Linked DNA regions of Sus scrofa. The protein of the gene in region 1 binds, or shares a complex with, the protein of each later gene. Links are inferred from orthologs where the notes say so. Each region holds a gene or a part of one and is shown in the gene's direction. Other genes may lie near its edges.

What was found.
Region 2: CHTOP (region 1) and SARNP share a complex: the UniProt entries of both Homo sapiens proteins name them as parts of the transcription/export (TREX) complex. The link is inferred for Sus scrofa from reciprocal best matches to the Homo sapiens genes CHTOP and SARNP.

The regions. Positions count from the first base shown.
Region 1 is NC_010446.5:95,996,241-95,999,510, reverse strand, and holds the end of CHTOP (chromatin target of PRMT1 protein), read left to right. Parts: intron 1-404; coding exon 405-542; intron 543-2,221; coding exon 2,222-2,427; 3' UTR 2,428-2,627; downstream 2,628-3,270. UniProt on the Homo sapiens protein: Plays an important role in the ligand-dependent activation of estrogen receptor target genes. May play a role in the silencing of fetal globin genes.
Region 2 is NC_010447.5:21,241,866-21,245,519, reverse strand, and holds part of SARNP (SAP domain-containing ribonucleoprotein), read left to right. Parts: intron 1-375; coding exon 376-449; intron 450-856; coding exon 857-885; intron 886-3,654. UniProt on the Homo sapiens protein: Binds both single-stranded and double-stranded DNA with higher affinity for the single-stranded form. Specifically binds to scaffold/matrix attachment region DNA. Also binds single-stranded RNA. Enhances RNA unwinding activity of DDX39A.

The DNA.
Region 1 (3,270 bases):
TTGACCCATAGCATTTAGCTATATGTTACTTTTTTGGGCACTGTTACACTGTTCCCTGTATAGTTTTTGTCTCCTACAAAAATGTATTAAGAGCAGGAACCATTTCATTTATTTTTAAATCTACCATAATGCTAGGCACCTGATTATTCAATAGGTATTTATTAAATGTATGTACTTACTAATTGATCTAACTCCCAGCTTCCAAAAATGGATTGTGGTCAGACTTGTTGAATTGATTGAATAAAGAGCAGCTTAATCTGTTGACACTCAGTGTGCAGCTTGCCCCACCCAACCTAAAAATTAATCGAATTAACTCATTTAACCCTCACTGCCTTCCTTTGGTTAGAATCTACTTTGTCTCTCTTGGATTTACCTGCATATACATTGTATGCCTCCTCTCCAAGGTCAAAACCTGCTCCGAGGTGGACGAGCCGTAGCTCCCCGAATGGGCTTAAGAAGAGGTGGTGTTCGAGGTCGTGGAGGTCCTGGGAGAGGGGGCCTAGGGCGTGGAGCTATGGGTCGTGGCGGAATCGGTGGTAGAGGTTAGTCAGCTACCAACTTCAGAGAATAGCACCCCCTTATTTTCTCTCCCTTCAAAACTCAGAGCCACCTTTCTGCACAGCTTCAAGTCATAGGCAGGCTTATTTGTTTGTCTTGTTTGTTTTATGAAACTGGCTTATTTTCTAAATTCACATGCTGGTAGTGTGAAAGTCTGTCATGGGTTTTCCAAGAACAGTCAGGTATGTGTTACAGAGCCAGGTTATAGTCAGTCTTTCAGGCTCTTGCAAATTTAAATTGTATCATTAAAGTGATAAAATTGTCAGTATGGGGTTTCATCTTTTTCTGTCCCTGGCCCCACCACCACACACCCCATCCCACAGCTCGTAACCCCACTTTTGGGCCTAAGATTTAGAGAAGAGAGAGATGTACAGAAACGAATCAGTTAAAGAGGATGGTGAGGCTTGGTGCTAGGTATTGACTCTGAAACCAAGTAAATTTAAGGTAAAGTTGGTGTCTGTGTGAAACCAGAGATGACTTTTTTTTTTTTTTTTTGATCAAGATTAGAAAAGCAAGATGGTATTGTGTCAGTTAACTAACTGACTCTTGTTGATAATCTCATCGTGAGACTTAGTGATACCTGTCACGTGACTTCATGGCCCAGATTGGAAAAGAGATTTTATGGTGTTGCTGTTAATACCAAATCTCCTGGGAATTTTCTGGCTTAAAGTTTTGTGGAAAACTCCCAACAACACCTGTTCAGGAAAAAAAATACATCCTTGTTGCCCCTGTGTATATTTGCTTTGATCTTTTTTAAAGTGTGTGGTGGGTCTTCCATAATTGATGACCTTGAAGCTGCCAGGGGATAATAACTACTGGGAAAGGAAATTTGATAACTGAGGGCTTGTTTTCTTCTCTCGCATTATATGTTGCTTGGCTTATTGAGTGAAGGGCAAACTAGTTTGGGTTTCAGGATGAAATAGCATGTTTCCAAATTATCTTGACTTGGTTTCTGAGAGAGACATCACAGGAATGGGAGTGGGGGAGGCTCTAAAGTAGCTTTTCAGAAAGCTGGGTGTGTTTTGTTAAGTGAATTGAAACCACCTCTCAGATAACCATATTTGTTAAAATGTGGATAGAATTGCAGATAGAAATGGCTGGCACTACTCAGAATGTTTTTCCCTAATCTCCCTTCATTGTTCCCATGTCAGAATAACTCCTCAGTCTCCTGACATGGGATCAGCTCATTAGGTTTGATAAGTTTGAGGAGAGACAAGCTAATTTTTCAGAAGGATGTCCAATAAAGTTTAATTAAAAACTTTACACTCATTTTTCTGTGCCCTTGTTACTTCCTCCCTGTTTTACTACATGGGGTTATCTATAGTGTGTTTGTATTTTAATTATAAACTTACAGTGAGTCTCAAGTTTTAGCTTCTATTTTAGAAGAGATTGAGTCAATTTTAACTTTCAGTTAAATATTTTCCCTCTGTTGATAGAATAAAAATTTTTAAATAGCATTTAGAGAGGAGCATGTAATAAGGGATTCATTATGTGTGCTTTCCATGTGTTGCTTTCTACCCAGTGTGTTTCCTGTTTTTCCAGATTTCTCCTCTTTGCCCTGCCCTTCAGTCTCTCTCAGCTAGGCCCCACTGCTCTGAGGGGCATTTACCATAGCACCTATTAAACCTACTTGTAACTATTTCTTCTTTTTCCCTTGGGCCAGGTCGGGGTATGATAGGCCGGGGAAGAGGGGGCTTTGGAGGCCGAGGCCGTGGACGTGGACGAGGGAGAGGTGCCCTTGCTCGCCCTGTACTGACCAAGGAGCAGCTGGACAACCAATTGGATGCATACATGTCGAAAACTAAAGGACACTTGGATGCTGAGTTGGATGCCTACATGGCACAGACAGATCCTGAAACCAATGATTGAAGCCTGCTCGCCCTCCTGTGAGACTCTTGTTCTAGTCACACATCTGTAAATAACCTTGAGATAACAGATGGGAAGAAACCTGATTGATGCTGGAAGGACCTATCATAATAGGCTGTGGACTGACTTGCCACAAGTTTGTGCATTTAGTGTGTTCCTTTTACTTTTTGATACTGTGTTGTATGAAACACTTTTTTCCTCTGACTTGGGTTTTGTTTTGTTGTATTGTTTGAGGTGGGTTTTGGTTTTTGATTTTTTTTTTTTTTTCCTTTGCCCAGACTTATCTTTGAACACAAATGTGTTGGCCTTATGGCTAGTATACCCTTTTCTCGCCTCTGCCTCCCCCTCACCTGTCACATACTTTGACATTCTAACATTTTTTCTGTTCATCTCTGTGCCCCCATGAAAAAGTCCCAGAAAGAGCCCTTCGGTGTTCCTCCTTAATGTGTAGGTTTATGAGATATAGTTTTGCATCATTTTTAATAGCCTCCTTTAGAGGCTTTTAAAATCTGGAGCTCAAAAATGCATTCTGCCACATTGATGTTTTTAGTATGGTAAATGAGGAACCTTGACATAGCTACAGGGCCACCTAACAGGTTACACCTGGTAGCTCTGATTTGATTATGGGTATCACAGTGTACATTTGCACCACATAAGCAATATGCTGGTTTGGTATGTGCACTTTCTACCCTGGAATGGGACTTAAAAACTTTCCTCTTGGCTTTGCATCATATCCAAGGGGTACTTTGGGGTTGGCTTACGCCTGCAAAAGGACAGAGGAAGGCCATTTGGTTTGGCAGATGCTTCAGAAGGGAAAGGGCTGGAAAATGATGGCAGGTGTCTGGT
Region 2 (3,654 bases), on another chromosome or scaffold:
TGTTTGCTTTCTGGAAAGAGCTGTTGAGTTAAGCCTTGGGCTGGATACAACCTGATATCCTCTAGGATTGTCAGTTTAGACTTCAAGAAAATACTCCTGATTGTATTTTTCATTGTAGTATACAGTAGAGAATTGGTTAAATAAGTGTGCACCATGGTACAGCAGAAGACCATACAGATGTTAAAAATTGTATTGAAGAGTATTTGTCAGATAAATGGAAAAAGCAAGTTATAAAATAATATTTGTAGTATTTTCCCATTTTGGTAAAAAAAAATGATGTTCTAAAGATACGCACCTCTAAACAACTTTTCTTTTAGAAGAAGGAAACCAGAAATTGAATTTTCTCTTCTACTTCTTTTGTCCATTATCACTTAGAGGATGCAGAAGAGAGCTGAACGATTCAATGTACCTGTGAGCTTGGAAAGTAAGAAAGCTGCCCGGGCAGCTAGGTGAGTGTCCCCAGCCTTTTGGACCTGAGATAGTGACACTAGGAAGCTAAGGGAGTGGGTTCCTAGGTTTTACATGTAATTGTTGATTTTAAGAGAATAGAGGCCTTGATTAAAAGAAAGGTATGATATAGTTTGGATTTTATCATCAAGCAGAATTTTTAATAATAGGTAAAAGTCAGGAACTCACTGCTACTCTCAACTCTGATAAGACTTCCTTTTAGCTATTCTCTGGATTCTTGGTGAGAAAAAGAGTCAACTGAACCTCTTTCATGGGGTTGTTAGAATTAGCTAATGATTGCAAGGATTGAGATCACAAGCAAGGAGTGCCATATGTACACTTAAAACGGAGACAGACAACCAGGAGTGTGAACAGCTTCCTAAAATTTAGCTTGTTTTTCTTTCTACAGATTTGGGATTTCTTCAGTTCCATCAAAAGGTAAGAATACAGAGACATCTGAGAAAGTTGTTTTTTTTTTTTTTTTTACTTTTTGGGCACAATAGATTCCATTTCTCTAAACTTTTTAGCATTAGAACCCTTTAAAAGGTTATTATATTCACGTCTTTATTTGCTTTAGGTAAAACCATACTCTAAATTGCCTTACTGGGCAATTTAGAGAAAATAACCGAAGTTAGGGGGGAATAAGGAAAGTGCCGGCATTTGTTTTCCTTTTCTTGGACATGTTCAGAGACGCTTCTAGTACCTTATTTATTCTAGCGTATCGATTCAGCATGTAATTATTGTGTACCTGTCCAGTTTATACTGCCTAGTGTAAGTGGCAAAAGAGAAAAGTATCTTTTACTTTCTAGGAATTTACAAGGAAATAATCTTGGCTACGCTTAAAGATTTAGCCACAAGGATTATCATAGTATTATTTATAGTGATCAATAACTGGGAACATTGTAATATACAGTAGAGAATTGGTTAAATAAATGTGCACCATGGTACAGCAGAAGACCATGCAGATGTTAAAAATTGTATTGAAGAATATTTGTCAGATAAGTGGAAAAAGCAAGTTATAAAATAATATTTGTAGTATTTTCCCATTTTGGTAAAAAAAAAAGTGCATGTATGTAAAGGAAAAAAGATTAGATGTATACTAAATCAACAACACTCATTATCTCTGGTAGAATTTTGGAGTGACTTCTTGCTTTACTGTGTTTAAAATTTTTGCAATGAATACGTATTTGTAGAGTAAATTAGGAAAAAAGGGTTTTTTTTTTTTTGTAGGTTATTCTTTTTAAAAAGAACATAGTACTTGTTCACGGGGGCTTTAAATGTAGTCTCCAGATCCAATCCAGTTTTCCTAGTGACTTGTCAGTAGTTTTAAGTCTATTAAAATGTCTTCTAAAGATCTTATGGAGTTTTGCGATACTCCTTTTGAAAGACCAGCAGGAGGGAGTTCCCATGGTGGCACAGTGGTTAACGAATCCAACTGGGAACCCTGAGGTTGCAGGTTCGATCCCTGGCCTTGGTCAGTGGGTTAAGGATCCGGCATTGCCCTGAGCTGTGGTGTAGGTTGCAGATGTGGCTTGGATCCCACATTGCTGTGGCTCTGGCGTAGGCCGGTGGCTACAGCTCTGATTAGACCCCTAGCTTGGGAACCTCCATATGCTGAGGGAGCGTCCCTAGAAAAGACAGGGGGAAAAAAAAAAAAAAAGACCAGCAGAATTCTGGTCACTGTCACTCTGAGAAAATATTTTCTGGGAGTTCCCGACGTGGCCCAGTGGTTAATGAACCCGACTAGCATCCATGAGGATGTGGGTTTGAACCCTGACCTCGCTCAGGGGGTTAAGGATCTGGCATTGCCGTGAGCAGTGGTGTAGGTTGCAGACTCAGCTTGGTTCTGGCGTTGCTGTGCTCTGATTTGAGCTCTGGCCTGGGAACCTCCATATGCCGCAAATACGGCCCTAAAAAGACAACAACAACAAAAAATTTCTGGCACTTAATTATGTCAAGAGAGAGATAATAGGATTGATGATGGTACAATAAAAATTTTAAAGATATTGTTAGATGGTGGTATTTGAAGAAAGACAAAAAATTAATATTTAGCCTAAAAAGGAAAACTGACCAATAAATAATGTATAGATAACATTCACAGTGCTACTCATATAATCTTAGAACTACAGAGTAGCTTTTAAAAGAATAGAATTTGGGGGAGTTCCCTTCTGGCCCATTGGGTTAAAGATCTGTTGTTGTCATTGCTATGGCTCTGGTTACAGCTATGGTGTGGGATCACTGCAGATGTGGCCAAAAAAAAAGAAGAGGATATGGCAACATTAAAAGGAAATATTGTTTTATGAATGAGAACATGAAAATACCTAATAGTCCTTAGCACAGTTGAGTACCATGACCGAATGTTTACAGTGAACAGTTAGGGAACCAATTTTAAGATTGAGATTGCTTAAAATTCTGAAAAGTTTTAAGCAAATAATTATTGACTAGATTAGGATTGGGCCTACAGGCCAATATACTACTTGCTTTCTTAGTGATAATTTCAGGACAGAACATTGACTCTAAGAAGTCATAATTTTTAAAATATGTTTATTTTTGCTTTTTAGGGCCACACCTGCAGCATGTGGAAATTCCCATGCTAGGGTCGAATCGGAGCTGTAGCTGCTGGCCTATACTATAGCCACAGCAGCATGGGATCTAAGCCATGTCTGTGACCTAAACCGCAGCTCATGGCACCGCCAGATCCTTAACCCACATCCTCATGGATACTAGTCAGGTTCATTACCACTGAGCCTCAACAGGAACTGCCATGATTTTTTTTTTTTTTTTTTTTTTTTAATTTTCTTTTTAGGGCCGCACCTATGGCATATGGAAGTTTTCTGGCTAGGCATCAAATCAGACCATAGCAAGCCTAGCTGCGTGTGCAACCTGTGCTGTAGCTTGTGGCAACACTGAATCCTTAATCCCCTGAGTGAGGCCAGGAATCGAAACCTTATGGATATTAGTCGGGTTCTTTTTTTTTTGTTGTTGTTGCTGTTGTTGTTTTGTTGTTGCTATTTCTTGGGCCTCTCCCGCGGCATATGGAGGTTCCCAGGCTAAGGGTTGAATCGGAGCTGTAGCCACTGGCCTACGCCAGAGCCACAGCAACGCGGGATCCGAGCCGTGTCTGCAACCTACACCACAGCTCACGGCAACGCCGGATCGTTAACCCACTGAGCAAGGGCAGGGACCGAACCCGCAACCTCATGGTTC